3 linked regions of the Rhinolophus ferrumequinum genome follow. The protein of the gene in region 2 interacts with the protein of the main gene of each other region in a pairwise test. Links are inferred from orthologs where the notes say so. Each region holds a gene or a part of one and is shown on either strand. Other genes may lie near its edges.

Evidence for each region. The genes of interacting proteins can lie anywhere in the genome.
Region 1: the proteins of CRX (region 2) and BANP interact in binary tests that used the Homo sapiens proteins (3 or more experiments, as listed by UniProt). The two-hybrid records come from large-scale screens. The link is inferred for Rhinolophus ferrumequinum from reciprocal best matches to the Homo sapiens genes CRX and BANP.
Region 3: the proteins of CRX (region 2) and CCNC interact in binary tests that used the Homo sapiens proteins (3 or more experiments, as listed by UniProt). The two-hybrid records come from large-scale screens. The link is inferred for Rhinolophus ferrumequinum from reciprocal best matches to the Homo sapiens genes CRX and CCNC.

Annotation. Positions count from the first base shown.
Region 1 is NC_046298.1:32,663,160-32,671,044, reverse strand, and holds the start of BANP (protein BANP), read right to left. Parts: upstream 3,009-7,885; 5' UTR 2,903-3,008; intron 1-2,902. UniProt on the Homo sapiens protein: Controls V(D)J recombination during T-cell development by repressing T-cell receptor (TCR) beta enhancer function. Binds to scaffold/matrix attachment region beta (S/MARbeta), an ATC-rich DNA sequence located upstream of the TCR beta enhancer.
Region 2 is NC_046298.1:43,662,158-43,669,099, forward strand, and holds CRX (cone-rod homeobox protein), read right to left. Parts: upstream 3,067-6,942; coding exon 2,967-3,066; intron 2,050-2,966; coding exon 1,898-2,049; intron 846-1,897; coding exon 219-845; downstream 1-218. UniProt on the Homo sapiens protein: Transcription factor that binds and transactivates the sequence 5'-TAATC[CA]-3' which is found upstream of several photoreceptor-specific genes, including the opsin genes.
Region 3 is NC_046286.1:54,286,921-54,294,712, reverse strand, and holds the start of CCNC (cyclin-C), read left to right. Parts: upstream 1-4,784; 5' UTR 4,785-5,123; coding exon 5,124-5,155; intron 5,156-7,792. UniProt on the Homo sapiens protein: Component of the Mediator complex, a coactivator involved in regulated gene transcription of nearly all RNA polymerase II-dependent genes.

The DNA of each region.
Region 1 (7,885 bases), about 11 Mb from region 2:
AGAGATCACAGAACAAAAAAGAAGTGGGGAAAAAAAATCCTTATTGGTATCCTCAGAGTCAACAAGATAATGCATTCAAAAAACAATAAGCTACTATGAAAAAGGAACAGAACAAATACACACTTGGAAATTAACATTTCAATTATGGAAATAAAAATGTTAAATAGGATTGGAAGATAAACTGAAGCCCTCTCCCAGAAATAAGAACAAAATGACACAGGAAGATAAAGACAAGAGATTCAGGGGCTCAAGATATCCATCATCAAACTAACAGGAACTTGGAAAGGAGAAGAGTAAAAGCAGAGAGGAAGAAATTCTCAAGTAAATGATACAAGACACTTTCCCAGAACTGAAGGACAAGGCCCCAGAAACAAAGAGCGTTTGGAATGGGACTCTCCATCCTCTGGCACTCTGGAAATGTCCTAAAACCAAAGAGGACCCTAAAAAGTCACGCGAAAGGAGGAAGGCGACTTGGCAGAAGGTTCTCATTGAAATGAAGAAAGCAAAGATTAAAACATGGAGTCCTGAACTCAGATGTATAATAAAGGAAAATATCAGGATACCTGTGGTGGCATAGAGTACTCAATCCAGATCAGAAAAAGAGAACAGAGGAATCGGGAGGAGGGGGAAGTTTGGAGAGACTTGACTCTATCCTTGAGAATTTGAAACAATTTAAGCAGCCAATAGGAGCAGACAATGCAAAGAAAAAGAAAGGCCAATACAAACAATAGGAAAAACAAATAGCTGTATAAGAAGGGTAAGTGCTACTTGGCTGCCGAGCAAACAACTTTTGCATTGTTACAAACAAAGAGTTAACTGAACACAGTGAATTCAGGGGCTGAAAGAGGTGGAATATGATCTGAAGAGCTAAACAGTATCATAACAGAAAGTCAAAAATGTGTATAATTAATAAAATACCAGCTTATCATTTAGAGCGATGGAAAATTTACTAAAGAAACAAAACGATGTAAAAGGTTGGACAGGCGACTACTACTTCTCATCATAAGTTTTTCATTGACATTTTATTATGTACCTTACTTCAAAATATTAAATATACGTATGTGTTATTTATTTTAAATGTTCACACCCTGGCTCTGTGTATCTTAGGCAAGTCACTTAAGCTCTGTGGACCTCAGTCACCTCATCTGTAAAACAGGACAGTCTCTACCTCACTGGGTGGTTGTGATGAGAGACATGGGAAATGATTAAGTCCCGGCCAACAGCACATGATCCCATAAATAACGACTGTTTTTTAAAAATTAAAACCAATGATGGCAGAACACAACATGAGAAGAACATATTCTGATTGCAACACAAAAGGTAAATGGAGCTGAATATAGAGAATTAATTTTACGGGCAGTTTTGGTGTTTTCTTTTACCACTGCATATTTGTACCCAGGGTGGTCAAAAGCTCCACGTTCATTGATCTAATCATGTACTTTCTGATGTAACCTTCCCTCCCTGAGGACCACTCAACTTTCCCACGTTATGTGTTTCCCAAACTTCCAGTTACAACTCCACCCTTAGAAAGGACTGTCTCCTCCCATCAACTAGTTTACCTTAGTGCTAGTTCTACCAACGCCCTCAGGCCTTGGAGTGCATTCCTCGGGGGTACAGTCAGGAAGAACAGGTAACTCGAAACAAAGAGCAATCACCTGTTTCCTTCCACAGACTCTAACCTGCCCAGGTAGGGCAGGCAAGCTCTCTGTCCTTGGAAGTTGCACTTGTTAACAGTTCTTATTTCTCCAATATGAAGACAATCCCTACCATCTCATCACTGAAAAAATCAGTCCTCTATTAATGTCTCCAATTCACTCACAGTGAGGTGCAATGTACATCGACTTTTTGCAGCCACGGTGGGGTGGGGTGGGTGGAGGGACTGCAAAGCAAAAAACTAAGGCCACATTTCAAAAGGATTACACCACAGAAATAGCAAAAAAAAGTATAGGGGTGAAAGAACCTGAAATGCTCCTTCATCGAGGCCGGGAGGAGAGCTGGATCCGGTCCTCTCCTAGGTCTACGGCAGTCTACTCCTAAAACGGCACCTTAGATCCCTACTTCCCTTTGTGAAACCGTAAGCAAATGAAGAGCACGCTGCTTGTGTTCCTGACTCTCGGGGCTCCATTTCACGTTAGGAACTCAGGGTGCCAACCGCGTCGGAAGTCGGCCTGACAGGAACTACTACACCGCAGGGTCTGTGGGTGCGTGTCCAGTTTTCCCATTTCCCAGAGAAAGGAGAGACCCAGCCTGCCCCTCCTGCAGCTGCAGGGCGGCCCTCGGGACGTCTGCGAGCACCTCTCGCAGGGCTGCGCCCCAAGTTTAAAGGCAGCTGCCGGCGGCCGGGCCTGTCACCCGCACCGTCCTAACCCGCGCACGGCATGACAATATGGGTGGGTGTGGGGGGGGTGCAAGTGCAAAAGAAAATTAATGAAATCAACAGTCTCCCGTGGGAAGAAAACGAGCCTGCGATCGGCCCTGTGACCCGGCCCCCCAGTATCGGGAATGTCGGGGGGACAGCGCCGTGCGCTCCCGGGAGGAGGCGCGGGGGGTCCTGGGGGCCGCAGAAACCGGGGGGCTGACAGGGAAGAGGGGGGCGGCGGGGCCTAGGGACGCTGAGGCCGAGGGGGCGTCCGCAGAGGTTGACAGAACTGAGGGAAGCGGCGGGGGAAGGACGGGTGACGGCAGGGCTCAGGCGGGCGGCGGGGCCCCGGGGCGCTAAGGGGGCTACCGGGCGGGGGTAGTGGGCCGTTGGCGGAACCGGCAGGGCGTCCCGGGAGGGGGCGGCGGGCGCGGCGGCCGGAGGAGGGTGCAGGGAGGAGGGAGGAGGGGAGATCTCGCTCTCGCTCTCGCCCCGCGGGAAGGGGGAGGTGGAGACGCGACCGGCTGCGGGAGCTGCAATTACCGTGTGGGCTGCGGAATTCTCGTGGTGTTTGTCGGGGAGATGCGATAATGGCGTCCGTCCTCGCGAGAGAAGCCGCCGCTCTGCGCAGGCGCCGCGAGTCCCTCCTCGAGGCCCTCTGCCCTGCACTATCTGCGCAGGCTCCCTGGGCGGGGCGCGCCGGGAGCGGAGGAGGGACCAGAGGCAGGGCCTGCCGCTTGAGGCCTCCCGCGCGCGCTTTCGCCCGCGCCGTCGACCGCCGGGCATGCGCACGCGTTGTACTCCAGTGCCACAGTTTGGGCCCCGAGGAGCTCTCACTTCCCCATGGTGTGTTAGGGCTCCTCGTTAACCCTTGAAAAATCGTGTCGGTGGGCCGTTGGAGGACTTTGCATTTTCTTTGAGACTAAATGAATTAAGAATTAGCTCCCCACCAACGACTACATATCCCGGAGGGCCCTGCGCGAACCGCGAGCAGTACATTCTGGGACTCGTAGTCCCGGCCTCTGCGCCTTGCCTGCCGGTACTTGTAGTCTCTCCATACTCCGGTAGCCCGGCCCGCGCCGTGGGCTGCTGGGACTTGTAGTTCAGATGCACTGGATCGCTGCGCCCCGCGTGTGCTGCTGCTTCCGCTCTGGCGGGGTTCCCCCAAAGAATAGGTGGTGCACAAGGGTCCCCAGTGTCATGTGCACAGTCTTGAGTGCACGCTCGTGGGGGAAGACTAAATTATATGTGATATATGTTTTGTATATAATTAATGTTATATATTGCATATAATCCGCGCCTATGTAAATATGAACTATTATATATGAATATAAATATAGTATGAATGTAAATATATTTATAGACCATAAATGCATGCTTGTGGGTACTCCTAGGAAAAAATTCCCAAACTATAGACAGCAATGTTTTTCCTACTTATTGTCATCACCATTGCTTTTCGTGCGTGCTGGGATTACTATTACTTTTCATTTTTCTTCTTTATACTTGCCTCTGTTTTCTGAGTTGTTTACTTTGAGCAAGAATTCCTTTGATCACCCAAACACAAGAGGATGGAGCTATTTTCATTTAGAAAATGAAATGCTTTACCATGAGTTTCCTGCTCATTTCTCTTTTGCCAATGATAAAAACTTGATTCAGGGCAGCAACCAGTTGTGCAACCTTGGGCAACTTTGTTGAGTTAGCCTCTCTTCCAGAGTTAACACTGGGGTTCTGCTGAGGCTGGTTACTGGATTCCTTTACCGAAAAAGTGCCTTAAAGGAATTCCAAAGAACCACAGAAGGTCAGCGCTGGAAAAGATATTGATATGGAAACGAGGTATGTCCTATGTAGAGATGAGAAGTCCAAAGAGATTGGAAAAATTGCTCAGCAAGGTCACAGGGCTGGAAAGAGACGAAAAGCACTGTGTGGAATCCAAAACACCTTGGTCTAGAGTCTACAGTCCGCTCACAGTGGGGAAAAATGATTGCAAAAGCTAACTACAAAAATCCTGAGAGAGGCATGGGGGCAAAAAAGTTCTTCTGTCCCCACCTCAGCCTCAGTTAGAGCCAAATCTAATACTTAACTATGTAAGCAGTCTTAACATTCTGCATCTGACTAGAAAGCAGATAAACGTAGGGTGATATTTTTCATATTATTTCAAAATATTCGAAAGTCCTCACCAGTAGCTCCCTTGCAGGTGTGGCTTTGCCAACACTCCTTCCTGCCCAGGGCTTGCACACTGCTTGGCTCCAAGCAACTGCTTACTGATCAGAAATTAAACCAATCAAAATTATAATTGTGCATATGCTGGAATCATTGACTTCTCTTTTTTGTTTTCAATGTTTCCAATTTACTTATTTTACATTTTGCTGCCCAGGAAGCTCAAATAGAGGAAGGTGTTCAATATTCACATCTCAGTGATTAACCATGGTTTTTTTCAAAAAACATTAAATCGCTTGAAATGGACCAAGACAGCTGTCTACCAATAAAGGGTCACTTCGGGACCACACAGGAGCCTTCTCCTTACCCATCAATTCATAGAAGACTCCAGTGGAAGTCCCCGGAGTTAATTAAGCTGAAGTCACGTTTGGTGGGCGGTTTATTAGACGAGAAGTGCACTCTGATCTGGATGGCACCAGAAATGGGGGACCCCTTAGATGTAGGTATGCAGGGCATTTGCAAAGATCTCAAAGGCCCCTTCTTCAAAACCACGCAATGCCCACTTTAAGCAAAATCTGGAATCCTTCAGAACAGTCCTGTTCTTGAATATGTCAGTAGGACGGAGAAAAGTGAATTATTCATGAAGTCCTTCGTTGTCCAAGAAAGCTTAGAAAATTGAGCTTAGAAAGCTTAGAAAGCTGTTCATAAAAGCAGAGCCATAAGAACAGGCCTGAACTGGGCTTTGAATCTAAGCTCTCTTGTGGCAAGTTGCTGAGGCTTCAAACTCACAGAATATGAGGCCCTGGGAAGGATTCAATGTCGCAGAGTTTCTAAAGGGTTTAGCAGAGGGCCTCACTCAGAAAATGGTAACGTTACTCGTGCTGAGTTACCATGCCTTGGGCCAGGCACATCTTGTTTTAATCCCTATTCTTTATGAAAAACATAAAGTTCAGAGAGATTAAGCAACACACCCAAGGTCACAGCCGTAGCAGTACAAGAACTTTGAGGAGGAAGTTTGTGACATGTGATGGAAAAGGTAATTAGGATGTGGGCCGTGTGGGTTGCAGGTCCTCGTTGGCCAAGGGATGAGTTTTGTCTTGATCCTAAAAATAATGGGAAGCCTTTACAAGGTTAGGGGCAAGGGTAGATATGATCATATTTGTGTTTTCAAAAGTCACTCTGGCTGGAATGTTGGAAAATCAATTGGGGGTGGGGAGGAAAGGTCCTGAGTGGATTTGGGGAGAGCACTTGAGGAAACGATGGCAGGCTTCCAGGCAAGAGACGATGGAGTCCTGAATTAAGGTGATCCTAGTGGAGACCAACATGCAGAGAAGTGGACAGACTCAAAGAGTGAAATCAATAGGACATGAGCATGAATCCAATACTGAGAGCAGGGTAAGGGAAGGAGGGCAGCTCGGATGCCTCATGGGTCTGCAAACATGTAAAACTGGATAGACAGAGTACCGTTCCCTGGGATGGGGAACTCTGAGCACCACTGGCCGCTGCCCACCATTGCTGTGGAGGCTGCCAGGAACAACGCTTCTTTGTTATTGGTCCAGCCAAGGGGGCCTCTTCTGTAATTCTTCCCCCATCCTCCGACACTTTCCTCTACTTCACACAAAGGCCCCCTTTGTGTAGGTTCCTAGCACCTGCTGGGAAAAGATCAGGTTGGGGGTGATCTGGAGTCCTGGAGATAGAGCCCACAAAATAATTCAGGGGAAATGGGAAGAAGGAGCACCCAGCACCCACTATAGTCCCATCTCCCCCTGGCATGAATTCCACTCAGACCTGGGACAGGCCACAGCCATACGTTCTGGGCCATCAAGAGATTTAAAGATTAGGAAGTGATGTCAGCCACAGGGCAGAATAGGGGTCCTCCATCATATCCTCCCTCAGCAGCAATAATTTGGCATCCATCCATGGACAGAAGTACCTTGGTGGGAACTTTGGGATGCCTAGGAGACTGTGAATCCCTGGTGGAACCCCAAATCATAAGGGCCATTTTGAGTCAGCTGCCACCGACTCAAATGGAAGACTCACTAACCTTGGTCTCAGCTACAGACACAGAAACAGACCATCCCCCTGTGGACGCGGCTACAGCTCCATTTGGCCTTGGTCCTGTCACCAGCATCATCCGCCGAGGAGGGATCCAGCAAGAATCAGACCTACACATGCCCCAGATAACAGGCCCAATGTATTTGGTTCTGGCTGTGGACCCTGAAGTAGCTTGGGACCCAACTCTAGCCCTTCTTAGCTGTGGTCCAGGGACAGTCCCAAGCCTCCCAGGGGGAGACACACCGTCCGTAATGTGATACACCACATTAACAAAATAGAAGATAAAAATTACATCATCTCAATAGATGCAAAAAAAAAAAAAGCATTTGACAAATTCAACATCCTTCATAATTAAACCTCTCAATAAATAAGGTACAGAAGGAACAAACTTCAACAAAATAAAGACCATATAACCGACAGCTAACATCATGCTCAATGGTGAAAGGTTGAAAGCTTTTCCTTTAAGTTCAGGATCTTAGTGCCCATTCTTATTCAACATAATAATGGAAGTCCTAGTCAGAACAATTAGGCAAGAGAAAGAAATAAAATGCATGCAAATCAGAAAAAAAGTTAAATTGTCTTTGTTTGCAGGTTACATGATCTTATACATAGAAAATGCTGGTAAAGACTCCATCAAGAAACACTTAGAACTAATAAATGAATTCAGTCAAGTTTCAGGATACAAAATCAACGTGCAAAAAATCAGTTGCATTTCTATGCACTAACAATGAACTATCTGAAAAAGAAATGAAAATCATCCCATTTACAATAGCACCAAAATAATAAAACACAAGAATTAATTTAACCAAGGAGGTGAAAGATCTATACACTGAAAACTTTAAGATGTTGATGAAAGAAATTAAAGAAAACACAATAAATGGAAAGATATACTACCTTTATGGATCAGGAGAATTAATATTGTTAAAATGTTCATACTATCCAAAGCCATTTACAGATTCAATGTAATCTCTATCAAAATTCCAATGGCATTTTCCACAGAAATAGAAAAAAACAATCCTAAAATTCATATGGAACCAGAGAAGACCCCAAATAGTAATCCTGAGAAAAAGGAACAAAGCTGAAGGCATCACACTTTCTGATTTCAAACTATATCACAAAGTTATAGTAATCAAAACAGTATAATACTGGTGTAAAAATGGACCCATAGACCAATGGAACAATGTATAGAGAGCTCAGAAATAAAACCACACGTATTTAGGCAACTAATCTTTGACAAGGGCACCAAGAATATGCAATAGGGAAAGAATAGTCTCGTCAATAAGTGGTGTTGGGAAAACTGAATATTCACAGGCA
Region 2 (6,942 bases):
GGGTGTGAGACGGAGCTGGGTTGAGAGAATGACTAAGCCCCCCTGAGCTGTCCCAGGAAAGGGAGGAAAGGGGTGGGTTGTGTTGAGCTACGCTGCTCATGCAGTCAAAGCGTCCACAAGCCTTGGAAGGATGACTGGCTCCTGCTGCTCTCTCAGAGGTGCTGGCCAAATATCTAAGCTGTGGGCAGGCGGGTGTAGAGCAGAGATGGAGGGAGAGGCTACAAGACCTGAAACTTCCAGGCACTGTGATCCTTGTAGTCCAGAGGATCCATGGGGTTGTAGGCGAATTTCCAGGTGCCTGTGGGGTCCTTGAATTCCAAGCTGTCCACAGGGCTGTAGGCGCTGTAGCTCTGGCCTGACAAAGATGTGGGGGACTGGGCCAGGGAGGGTCCCACGGAGGGGCCCGAAAGGGGGCTGAGAGCCGGGCCCCCCAACTGGGGCACCATGGGAGAAAGGTAGGGATCCAGGCCACTGAAGTAGGAGCTGGGAGACCCATAGGCTGAGGGGGAAGAGCAGAAAGCAGAGGCTGGGGCGTAGGTCATGGTGTAGGGGGCTGAGGGGAGAGAAGGCCCTGAGGCCACGGGCAAAGGGGACTCTGAGGCCGGACTCCAAATGGACACAGTGGCCACTGCTGCGGTGGGAGAGCCTGAGGGGCCAGCTAGAGGGGGGCTGTAGGAATCTGAGATGCCCAGGGGGTCTGGACAGACATCCGTGGGGGCTCTTGGGGACGTGCCTGCCTTCCTCTTGGCAGGACGAGCCTTGGCCTGTGTCCCTGGAGGCTGCTGCTGCTGTTTCTGCTGCTGCCGCTGCTGCCTACATTTAGCTCTGCGGTTCTTGAACCAAACCTGGGGGGTAAGAGGGGAACGCCGGTGGGTGAGTGGGGAGGAGACCCAGGAGAGCCCCCATGGTGCCCAGAAATGATGTTGTTTATGGGTGAGACACACCAGAGTCACACCGCTCCACTTTGCAATCAGTTATAGGTCACTCCATCCATCCACTTATCCACTAATCCATCCATCTATCTATCCACCCACCTTACTGTCTGTCCACCCATCCACCCACTCATTCATACATACAACCATACATACATACATTCATACAAACACACGTGTCCATATCCATTCATCTAATCATTCACATATACATAAATACATTCATTTATCTAATACATACGTAAATCATATATAAATATACACATACAGTTGTACACACACACAGACACACACACACATATTTAACCATCCAGTCATGAGTACATATATGCAATCATACAAGCAAACACATACACATTGGTACATGAATCATACATACATCCAGTCATACAAATATCTAATCATACAAATACACACACATATACACATTCATCCATTCAATCAGTTAATAAACATGCATTAACCGTCTTCTACTGCTCTGGGGATATACATCAGTGGAGCTGACATTCTACTTGAGAGAGACAGATTATAAACAGTAAGTAAAGCACATAATATTTTAGAAGGTGATAAATACTACGGAAGAACCGATTGAGCAGGAAAGAGGGAGCAGTAGAGTTGGGGGATGTGGGGAAAGATTGCAACTTTAAATTCGACTGCCGGTGGAGGCCTCAATGACTTGATTGGTGGGTAAAGACTTGAACAAGGTGATGGGGAATAAACGTTCCAGGCAGAGAGAACAGAGAGTGCAAAGGTCCTGAGGCAGGAGTGTGCTTGGTGGGCATGTTAGAGGAAAACCGAGGGGCCAGTTGGCTGGAGTGGAGCGAGAAGGGTAGGAACACTGAGATGAGGCCAGTGAAATAATGGGGGTAAAGGATTATTCTGGCCTTTCATGACTGTGGCTGCTACTCTGTGGCTTCTTTCTCCTCCCATCACTCTGGGCCCCAAGAAGGGCCGGAACATCCCACCTGAACCCTGGACTCAGGCAGGTTAATCTTCAGGGCCACCTCCTCACGGGCATACACATCCGGGTACTGGGTCTTGGCAAACAGAGCCTCCAGTTCCTCTAGCTGGCTCCGGGTGAAGGTGGTCCGCTCCCGCCGCTGCTTTCTCGGGGCGCCTGGGTGGGGAAAAGGAAAACGGGACCCTTAGGTGACCTGGCTCCATTCTCTTCATCTGCTGGTGTGAGGCCCTGAGGGTGTGTGGGACGCTCAGAAACCCCTTCTGTGTGTTCATGTGCCCTACCCTTCTGGACCTTACTCCGCCTCCCTGGGTATGGGGTCCCTTTTTGCCTGTCATTTTGGGGCTCATGCCTCACCCCGAGGACACCTGGCTTTAGCCATGTAAGGAGGTGTATGAATTTGTTTTTTGGTCCCTTTCTAATTTCTTAGACACTAAAACATGACACTGGATATTCAACCATTTCTAGCCTATACAACTGGCAGATGCATAATGTTCAACTTAATGAAAAAACAAAACAAACACCAAACAGCTAAATAATAATGCCACCAAAAATACAAAGAGAGCTCACTTCTCTTAGAAATAAAGCATTTCTGGGCCGGATGGCTCAGTTTGTTAGAGCATGAGCTCTCAACAACAAGGTTGCTGGCCTGCAACTAAAGATTGAAAACGGCGCCTGGACTTGGAGCTGAGCTGCGTCCTCCACAACTAGATTGAAGGGCACCGACTTGGAGCTGATGGGCCCTGGAGAAACAAACTGTTCCCAATATTGCCCAATAAAATTTATTTTTAAAAAAAGAAATAAAGCATTTCTAACAGATGGAAATTCCTCTGGTTCCTCTTCCAGATCACTTCCCTCTCCTTCACTCCTGATGGAAACACTATCCTAAATTTCTTTGAATGTCTGTATACTTTCCTGAATCCCTAAGTAGTGTTTTGCATGGAGTAGTGTTTTGCATTTGCATATGACCCTGATGTCACCTCTGTAAGTGCCCGTCTTTTTCCTGAGGGCAAGGGACTCCAGAAGCCCCCAGTAGATGGGGGCCAGTCTGGGATGGCAGGGACGACTGTACTCACTGGGGTAGGAAACAGCTTGGTGCATCAAATCCACACTGGAGCCACTCAGAGCCAAGGCATTGACGGAATAGTGGGGCCCCGGGTTCATATACGCCATCATGGTCTTCCTGGACGCTGGTGCCCAGGTCAGTGGGCCTGCAAGAGAAGGGGTGCGGGGCTCAAACACTCCCAGTTACCGGATGGTGACAGGCAGGCTTAGGATCAAATCCTGCCTCAGTCTCTTCTTAGCTATGGGACCTTGGGCAATTTCTCTCTCCGCTTCGTGCCTCAGTTTCCCCACCTATAATAAATGGCCCGCTGCTTAGGGTCCTCAAAGCTTCACTGAGACGCTGTCCGTTAAGCAGAGCTGAGGCTGTAATGGACATCTTAAATAGAAGCTCTACTTCCTGCTCTGTCCTTTAAAAAATCTGATCCTGCCATTTCCCTCTCCAAAATCTTTTCTTTCTGTGACCCGGGAAAAGATGTTCAACCTCACGCAGAATCACAGAGAGTAGAGTGAGCAGCGGTCCCCGGTCTGACTGAAACAGAAGCTGTTTTAAAGATGTGGGGCTTCCGGGTGAAACCTGGGAGAGTCCCTGACAAACCAGGCTGGTGGCTCACCCTAATTGTATTAAAACGTCAGCAAGCGATGATCTGCCACGACCATTTTTGACCCATCGGGTTGTATGTATGTACTAGACGGATGGATACGGTTATGTGTGTATAAATGATTAGATGAATGGATGTAGGGATGGATACATGTGTGTTTGTAATGACTATGTGTATGAACAATTAATGGGGAAATAACTGTATTTCTGTTCCTTGAATTCATCTCTGAAATAGCTGGTTTCCAATAACTTAAATCAATCTTTGACCTGTTTATTACGTATGTGTCTTAGAGTCAGGATTTAAAATATTTTAAAATTACACTTTGACAATAAGGGTGTGTGTGAGGGTGTATGTGTGTAGTAGAGGTCATATACTACCAAATTATATGTAATAGTAACTATATAACATATACGTGTACAATATATATTATATATAGTCAAAGAAAAAATATGGTGCTGAGCAGTATGTATAGCATGTTACCATTTGTGATTTTTAAAACAAGGCAACGACAATAATAATATTATTATTATTATAGATGCATGTCTATGCATTGAAAATTTCCAGGAAGGACACAAGATAGGGTAAAAGTGGCTGCCTTGGGAGGTGTGCTATATCCATACATTATTTTTGCAGTTTGGGTTACTTTTTAACCATATATATGTGTCACCTTTTCAAAAACAAAATATAAACTCTAAAAAGAAAAGAAAAAGACATGAGAACATTTCCATGGCCCCTATCCGCTATTGCCCTCTTTAAGATGTCTCAGAAAACCTTGCAGCCTCTCTGGACACACACAAGCTGTTCCCTGGGCCAGAAATGCCTCTCCCCAGTTCAAAACCCCCTCTCACCAGCTAACCCCTTTCCTCACCCACGATTTCAGCTCAAACATCACTTCCCAAGGAAGCTGTCCCACACTCTCAGCTGGATCTCTCTCTCTCTCTCTCTCTCTCACACACACACACACACACATTTTCTCTCTCCTGTTCTTCAAGACCTTGCATGTATTAAATATGACACATTTTAACTTTGTTTACCTGTCTCCCCCAGCTCTGTCAGAGGAGTGCAAGGACTAGGTGTATTTCCATCCCTGCTCTGTCCCCAGCACCAATAAATATTTGAAAAGTAAGTAAATGAATAAAAAGTAGACGATATGTATTTCAGCTCCTACTCCTTTCTTCTCCCACTGCCCCATCCTTCTCATCTCTCACCTGAGAGACTTCTATTTATTATAAATTAAGGACCTACTGTCCATTCTGTAAATATTTTTCAAAGGTCCACCATGCTCTAGGAACTAGGGATGTGGCAAGAAATAAGACACGCAGCATCACTGCTCTCATGAGAGTGAACTTCCAGATTTGAGTCAGAAAAACAGACAGTGAACAAAGAAGTAGATGTTTTAGAAAATCAAAATGCTTTCAGAGAATTTCAAGAATTCCGGGAAAAATTAAATGGAAGAATATAATGACGAGGTTTGGAGTGAGGGTGACACATCTAATTCCGATAAAAGAACAGGGAAGAGCTCTCAGTAAGGAGGTGACCCTGGAGCTGCCAAGTTTCCTAGGCGTGGGAAGATCTCAAGGTCGAGGCTTTTCCAGGCAAAGGGAACAGCAGGTGCAAAGGCCTGGAGACTGGAATAGATTTTTCTTGTTGGAGGAGAAACAAGGTGTCCAGTGTGACTGGAGCAGAATGATCAAGGGGGAAAGTGGACTAAGATTATGCAGGACCTGATGGGAAGGTCACTGGGGGTCTCAGTGCTGATAATAATAAAAACAAAAACAACATTAAGTCCTAAGAATCTATTGGTGTCCTAAGCAGGACCCAATAATCTTCACCCTGGTCGTCACACCCTTGACTTGTCCTTCGCACTGAGCAGGGCTGACGTGTGCAACCAATAGGATATCGCAGAAATGACCCCATGACTTCCGATTCTGGCTCTCCTTCTGGAAGATGCTCGAGCAGTCCTATGGAGAAGTCTATGTGGTGAGACACTGAGGTCTCCTGCCAACAGCCATGGAGATGAGCCCCCCAGTCAAGCCTGCAAACGACTGCAGCTCTGGGCGACCTCTGAATCCAGCAGCAGACTCTGAGCCAGAATCACGCAGCGAGGCTACTCCTGGATTCCTGTCCCTCAGAAATCGTATGACATCGTACATGTTTACTGTTTCACATTTACCGTGAGGTTTGGGGACGACTTGTTACACAGCCATAGATAACTCATACACAAGCCTTTTCTATGCAGGATACCACTGAGTCCTCAGCACAACCAAGGGAGGTAGAGACTGCATTGCTATGATGCAGATGGGAACATCTTCAGGCTCAAGTGCCATGACTTGCCCAGGGTCACACACAGGCTGTGGTTGGGGACCCAGGATTCCTACCCTGGAGAATTCCTGAAGGCCCTGTCCTCCCAGTCCCCATCCTGGATTCCCTCTGTCCTCTCCCTCTTCTCCAGTTCCATCACAACTGCTAGACAGAGTAGAAACAAGCAGAACTGTGAACCTGTCCTGCTAGGGGCAATTTGCAGGACTTGGAGCAAAAGCATCGACTTCTGATGTCTTCACCATCGAATCCACACCAGGTTATCCCACTAAGTGGCTGGCCTTTGGGAAAGCCTAAATTTCTCTCACTGGGTGATCCCATCCTACAGGTAGGGAATCTGAGCCTCTGGGGGAGGCAGGTATTCACTCAAGATCAAGCAGCCGATAATGATAATGACCTCTAGGACGGAGGGTTTGCCAACTCCTCAGACACCTGATAAGAGCTTCATGGACAAGATGTCAGCAAAGAATAATAACAACAAAAATAAGATCAGACACCTGGTGGAAAGCTTTCTCTGGGTTTGGCAGCAAGCTGAGGACCTCAGGATTTCTTCCCTCGACAGACACTCAGCCGAAGGCTTTGTGTGTCTGATCTCAGGAGCACAGACAACACCTATTGTTGTTGACCTACTATATTGACCTTCTGTTGGTTCACTCGGCAGCCCTATTATCCTGCTGAGTGAATGTCGAGGCAATGGTGCTTCATGATCCCAAAGAGTGGGACGAGGGAGACCACTGTCCCTGCCTTGGGAATCAACCTGTGGGGCCATAGGCTGGTGCTCGGGGCTCTTGGGGTTCAGCAGCCGCTGGGTCCAGGTTCCCACCTGAGCAGGTGCTCTGACAGGTGAGCCTGAAGGCTGGCGCACACCTTGTGGATACTCATGGAGATCATCCATCCTACAGGTGGGGAAACTGAGCCTGAGGGGAGGGGAGGAAGTTACCTGCCCCAGGTCAGGCAGCTGATAATCCAGTGAAAACTTCCTACAAGGTAGGTCCTGTTATCATCCCACTTCACAGAGGAGGAAACGAAGGCTCCGAGAAGTAGAGTCCCCCGTCCTGTACACGTGTCA
Region 3 (7,792 bases), on a different chromosome or scaffold from region 2:
ATATGTGTATTTGTTCTACAAAAGACATTTGGTCTGAATAGAGTTAGAGAAATAGAATGTTGTAGAAGCACTCAAGTAATTCTAAAGTGCAGTCATTGTTAAGGAGCATCACTCTGAACCCACCGCGGTAATTCTAATCAGGGCTGCCTCTCGGTGTGTGGAACCCCAGACAAGTACTTTTTGTGTGTGACCTCTATCTATACAAAAAAACAAGCAAACAAAAGAAATACATAAGTAGAGAATGTAGAAGGGTGGAAGTGAAGCTGAAAGTTCATGACATAGAGAAAAGCTGAAAAGCATACAAACTAAGTTATCATGAGCAGAGAGTATGAAGTAAACACAGAATGGGGAGATAACATGGTCCAGTTGGGAGCAAGAAAATAGAGAAAACACACACACTGCTTTCTTTGTATCAAGGTAGTACTATTTTCCTTATCTGTGACAATGGACATCTTTATAGTTCATACGGTAGAATCTAAACTTGTTTTGAATAATATAGGCTAAGAGTAAAAGAAAAGTAAAAGGTAAGAGCTATTGAGCTCTTACCATATGTCAGGCACTATTCTAATTTCATTTAAGGTTTATCTAAACCTCACCATAACCCTATAACTTAGGAAATATGATTATCCCTGTTTTCCAGATGAAGAAACTGAAGTGCAGAATAGCTAAGTATTTTGACTAATGTTACCAGTATAGATTGAATGTATGTCCCCCTTCCCTTCATCTGTTGAAGCCTTAATCCCCAATGTGATGGTATTTGGAGGTGGGGTCTTTGTGAGTTAGGTTTACATGAAGCTTGGGCGCCCGTGATGGAATTAGTGTCCTTATTCTCTCTGCCATGTGAGAATTCAGCAAGAAGGCAGTCTTCTGCAAGCCAGAAAGATGTTTCTCACCAGAAACCGAATCACCAGGTGCCAGGACCCGGGCTGGCACTTTGATCTTGGACTATCCAGTCTCCAGAACTGTGAGAAATAAATGTTTGTTATTTAAGCCATACAGACTATGGTATTCTGTTATAGAAGTCTGAACTGACTAAGGCAGTTATACAACTAGCAAGCGGCAGAGCTATTAGTTGAACTTGATCAGTGTAGTTTAGAGACTGAATTTCTAACTAGTACACTTTACCATAAGTTAGAGGTTTACTCGTCTTAACTAAAGTATCCAGGAGTTAAAATAAACGAAGACATAATGAATGAATATAGAGGAGATGATATTTTCACAACGAAGACTGTTAGTACCCCAGCAAATTACAATAATAATTTAATTAAAAGTGAGAAGATGGTCTTCACTAATAGTGTTTGGGAGGAGAAACTTCTACTACAAACCTGAAATAATGTGTCTATAGTAGTTTAGTCGTTATAGTTCTATTGAAGCTGTACAGTTGGGTGAAAAGCTCATTGCCCTGGGAATCAGAAGAAATGGATTCTAGCTGTTCTTGCCACTAACTAGGTAAGAGAGCTTGATAAAGCCCCTAAATTTCTAGGCTCTGAGAAATAGTATTCGTGGTGCTGGAGAAAGCATTGTAAAAAGGAAAAAGGATAAATATTTTTTTGTCACAGAAGAATCAACATTTGTATCAAGAATTTATTAATCACATCCTTATTTAAAAAGCATAAGATAAATAAAAAATTACAAGGCACAAGATTGATTAATAGATTCCAGTAAGTTTAAATCACACAAGTATGAGGACTGAGAAACAATAAAAAAAAAAAACCTAAAACTATAAAGAAAAGTTAAAAAAAAAAAACAACACAAAAAGCTATCAGCAAAAAGAAACAAACCTACATGGCCTATCATCTTTTGCATCCAGATAAGTTGATATCTAGGCATTTTAACAGCTTTTGTACATTGCTGTATTCCACCAGATATCCTTAAATAAAGTTAGCTTTTGGTTCAAATCATTCAATTCAACCTGCCTTCTGGAGTACCCTCAGTGACAATTTAGTCTAAAAATAGTAACGCCAAAACTTCAGACCCCTGACTTGAGTGGCCACTGGGAGCACCAGCGCTGTTGTGCATTTGGAATTCTGGGTGGGAAGCAGAAACCAGGTTGCAGGTGGGAAGCATTTCTATGTAATATTTCTGGTTAAATTGCCTAGAACAGTTCACAGAAGGACCTGAATCTTCAAGGCTGTAGTAATTTGTTATGATTTCTTTTTGCATTCTAAATACTTACTTTTCAACCTGATTTTATGTCCATATGTTACATTTTTTCTTTAAGCACCCTACTCCCCAAATACCATTGCCTGCTGTGCCTATGTGTTATGCCCTCAATGAATGGTGATACCAAGATGAAGGAACTCAGTTTTGTGGGAAGAAGAGTGCAGAATTAGGCATGAAACAATGTTTGTCTAGTGAAAGAAATAGTGTAATGGGGGCACATAAAACAAAACATTTAATAATACTGATTTGTCGCAGTACCCTTATCTTCTGGATGATGTCAGGCTGACAACCTCTGAGAGAATTAAAGAAATTCTGAACCTTTATGAAGTAGCCTAGTGGCCTAGAGCCTGGTCTTTCTTTCCTTCTTTCTTTGCTTTTTTTTTAGTGCCAACCTCTTTATTACTTTTTATCTTTATTAATCTTATTGGAGGTGACATTGGTTAGTAAAATTATATAGGTTTTAAGGTTTAAGTGTTCTATAATACATCATCTATATACTGCATTGTGTGTTCACCACCCAGAGTCAGTTCTCCTTCCATCACCATACACTTTGTCCCTTTTCCCCTCTTCTACCATCTCCTCCCCCCCTACCCTCTGGTAACCACTAAACTGTTGTCTGTGTCTGTGTTTTTTTTTGTTTGTATGTTTATCTCGTTCGTTTGTTGCTTTCAGTTTTATATGCCACATGAGTGAAATCATATGGTTCTCAAATTTTTCTGACATATTTTGCTTAGCACAATAATCTCAAGATCCATCCATGTCGCAAATGGTGGTATTTCATCTTTTTTCATGGCCGAGTAATATTCCATTGTGTATATGTACCACATCTTCATTAAATAATCATTTATTGAAGAACACTTTGGTAGTTTCCATGTCTTGGCCACTGTGAATAATGCTGCAATGAACAGAGAGGTACATGTATCTTTATAGATAAATGTTTTCGGACTTTTGGGGTAGATACCCAGAAGAGGGATTGCTGGGTAATTCTATTCTTAATTTTTTGAGAAAACTCCATACTGTTTTCCATACTGGCTGCACCAATCTGCATTCCCACCGCCAGTGTATGAGGGTTCCTTTTTCTCCACAACCTCTTCAACACTTGTTTTACTTATCTTGTTGGTAGTAGCCATTCTAACAGGTGTGAGGTGGTATCTCATTATGGTTTTGAGTTGCATTTCCCTAATAGCTAGTGAAGTTGAGCATTTTTTCATATATCTTTTGGGTTTGGTGTTTCTTAAGTTACTACCTTTCAAACTTTTTTTGACTGTGATCTGCAGTGTAGCAGACAGTAGTGTTCATCAAATATACTACCGGCTCCCCTACATTTCTCAGCCTCCCTTGCAGTTAAGTTAGAAGCATGTTCCTATTCTGGACAATGGGAAGAGAAGAAGTGATTGTTGTTTCAGGTTTAAGTCTCTTGACGCTGATTAAGAGCCAGTGAGAGAGTCCTAGGCATTCTCTCTAGAAAGATTTTAAGCCTGGAGGCAAAGAACCAAGAGAGAGTAGTTGAAAGATGGAAACATACTGCATTCTTGAAGATCAACCATCAAGGAGAGAAGTCTAATCCACATCAAACTTTATAGGACTTTATGGAAGTGACGTGTGACATATTTTTGTTAAGTTACTAAAAATACATTTCATATCTTGAGATAGCACCTATATAACATGTAACTGAATCAAAAATTTTATTTTATTTAAATACATTTTTTTAAAATTGGGGACTATTGGGGAACAGCGTGTTGCTCCAGGGCCCATCAGCTCCAAGTCGTTGTCCTTCAATCTAGTTGTGGAGGGTGCAGCTCAGCTCCAAGTCCAGTCGCAGTTTTCAATATTAGTTGCATGGGGCACAGCCCACCATCCCACGCAGGAATTGAACCAACAACCTTGTTGTTGAGAGCTTGCGCTCTAACCAACTGAGCCATCCGGCTGCCAAGAATCAAAAAATTTTAAATAATATCCTTATTTCTAACATACCTGATAATTTAAAACTTAATTTAGGAAAATGCTTATCATTCTCAATTTCACCACCCCCTAATTGGTCTCCACCCACAGTGTGAAAAATACTGTCCCAAGCTACCTCAGAACACTGACCTATCAGTAACTTTTAAGTGTGCCTAATCTTTGGAAAAATGATTATAAGTTTTACAATAATTGCAATATCACAATGATAACAGAAATGGAAAATACAAATTATTTCATCTTGTAAAATTAAATTATTGCAATTTTGGCTGTATGTTTCTATTTGGTACATATATGTGAATATGTATGTGTGTATATACATATACATGTAATAGAGAAATGCTTTTAGCTGTTCTGCAAAACTGGTGGTTCTCTGGCATTAAAAAAAACAAAACATTGTTACTCTAAATATTTCTGCCTCACTCCAAAAGAACTCCATGAAAAACGTATGCGGCTTGGTGCCAGTAGGTTTTGGTAGTGCCTTGAGGCCAAAATAATCTTTCTCTTTCCAATCACAGGAGAAAGAATTGAATTCATTAAACCTTTAACACAATGCCACCGTGCCGCTTTGGAAGCGTGTAAAATGGAAAAACAAAACCTGAACTGGGTTGCTTCCCAACTGCCTGCCCACTCGCGAATTGGCACTACCCCCAGTAGACCAAACCACGCGGGCTCCAGCTCTGGCGCGAAGGTCTCGCGAGAGCCTAGTTCCCAGGCACTATCTCAGCGCGACCACAGGCTGTCTCCTCCCAGCCGGCTTCCTCCGCCACGGCGGGGGCGGGCCGGAACTTTTATCCATAGGAACCGCTTTACACAGTAGAGTGTTGCCGGCCGGCGTCAAGAAGAATTGGGTGCCATCCTCTTCCTCTTACCGTCGCCGCCGCGGAGCGGAGCCGAGCCGATCAGATTGAGGAGCGCGGTTACCGGGCGGGCTGGGTCTATGGTCGCTCCGCGGGCCGCTCCGCCGGCTGGTGCTTTTTTATCAGGGCAAGCTGTGTTCCATGGCAGGGAACTTTTGGCAGAGCTCCCATTAGTAAGTGATCTTCCGTCTTCTCACCGTGGGCTGGCTCTTGGGGGGCGGTGCGGACGGGGCCTGCGACTCCCGTTGGCCTGGATCCCGGCCCCTGTCCCGAGTGCCGCGGAGTCTCCCGGGAGGCGGCTGCGGCCGGAAGCGGGATGCGTCTTTCTCTGGCAACTCCTCTCTCCCCGCCCCCTGGCCGGGTTTGGAAGGTGGGGAAGATCTGTTAGCGGGAAAGGTGGGGGAAGGGGGTTCGGTCTCCGAGGTAGGAAGGTTCGGGGTTTTAGTTTCGTATTTTTGCATTAGCTAGGCCTGGAAGGGGGTGGGGTAGGATGGGGTGGGCACAGGTATGGGAAATGTGACCCAGTTCTGGACTGTGAGGCTGGCTCTTCAGGATAGTTGTGGTTCATTTTTTTGCCTCGGATCTCTTCAGTGGGTTGGCATCGCAGTCTTTTGTCATTCACTTTCTGTCCTGAGTGGATTTAATATTATTTTGAGGAGAGGGGGAGCCAGACTTATTTCTTCACACTAACTGATTCCTGCCACTACCTTATGCCTACGTGGAGGGTTATGTTGGTAAGGTACAGGGCAGGTGCGCTCAGAATTTATCCATTTCATTGGTCTGTGCCTTATATTTTAAGTGTGTATTTTCCATTGATGTTGCCTATTTCTTCAACGTTTTTTAGAAGTTTTTGTTTCTGTCAGTGACCATGGAAGAGCTAGAGTAATATTTAAAATATTTTCCCCTACATCCATTTGGTTAAGCAGTCAGGAAGGTGGGTGACCAGACTGAGTGAACTTTGACTAGATTTTCCAAGTACAGTTGGAAGACGAACGCAACCTGATAAAGATTATATCTTAGTGTAAATAATTTTTAATGTTAAGAGCATTAGTAACTGTAATTTAGATTTGATTCTGTGAAAAAGATGGATTTCTGTTCATTCTTTTAGCCCTTTGCAGGAGGAAAAAAGGAACAATGGGCTTGGAAATTATTTTCAGAAATCAAGTTTTCTTCTTGCTCTAGAGCGATTCTGTGGAGATGAAATGCTATAGAAGCATTATTTCTGACCACATTTTTCTTTTACATTTCACTCACTTGAGTATTTGCTTGGGCAAAATTAAAATAACGAAATTTAGGCAGTGGAGAAGAGGTATTCTGATGAACTTTGAAAGAAGGTGCGAGAATTGATAGGTAGCTAGCTAGCTATTGATGGTCAGAATTTATGTTTTTCAACTTAAAAAAAAAAGGTCCTCCCGCCTTTTGATAAGCATTATGCCACAGTGAGAATGCTTATCAAAAGAGGGGCAGGATCTATTTTATAAAAACAATTTTTCACATTTCAAGTGTAAAATTATTATAATATTAAATGTGCTGTTTTGAAACGCCTTGCCTTCCAATTCAAATAGTCCTGATGGAAGGGGGCCACTTGACTTTCTCAAATTCCTTGACAAGCATGGAGTCCCTGCTCTGTAAAAGGTAACAAGTATGAAAGACAAGACAATTCTGGAAAAACAAAATAATTATGAAAGCCATTGTTTTAGGTGATTTTGGTGAAAGGAAAATTGACGTGAAATATGCTGTATTTCATGACTCTAAGATGCACATTTGAGTATTTCTGAAATCAGCATGGCATAATAGTGAATCTTAAAATCAGTGTCATCTTTGATGAAATGAGGTATTTATAAGTTTTGGTTTATACTCCATACTATGCGCTGTGAGGAAAAACTTTTAAATATTTGTGAAATTTATTTTTTTAAAAACAAAATGACTAGAGATGAAATTAATGATAATTCTGGAAAAAAAACAAATCACAGTATTTTCTAGAAAGTTGTATTAGAACACAACACATTCTTTGACTATGATGCAGTCAAACTAGAAGGACACTAAATACTTTCTAGACTGAATGGATTAATGAACAGGTTACAAAAATTAAAAATATAAAATTAACTCTGGATACTTTATTGTATCAAAGAGGAAACTGAAAATACAGTTACATAATATCAAAGAAATAACATAATGACATCAATGTATATCCATATATTGTAGCCAAAGCCAAATTTGTAATAAAATTAATATCCTGAATAACTTAGAAATAAAAATAGATCAAATATTCTACTTAAGAATATTAAAAAGGAAACAGTAAAATAAACCTAAGGAAAAAAAGAAGAGTAAAAGTAACACTGATATTAATGTATTAAAAGGAAAAAATATAGTCAGAAATTATGTAAGAGCTGGTTCTTTGGAAGGGAAAACCAAAACAGTAGACTAAACTGCTAGTTGAATCCAGGTGAAAAGGGATAATACAAAAACACAAAATTAGGAATGAAAAAGGTAAACCCAGATGTACCTTTGGGTTATCTCCATGGTAATAAATTTGAAAGTCAAAATAAATTAAGAAAGTTAGAGCGCGACTCCTTAAAAAATGCTCCAAGCCCACATTATTTCATGAGTAATTTTTTTCCCACTATCAAGAGGTCCTGATAATGAAATTGTTCTAGTTCACATGGGAAGAAAGAAAGCTTTCCAGTTTTCTTTATGAAGCTACAATACAGTTTTCTTTATGAAGCTGGTAAAATCTAGCAAAAGTAGTACTAAAAACAGTCTCACTTTTGAATATTGATGCAAACATTATAAAGTATTACCAAGTGGAA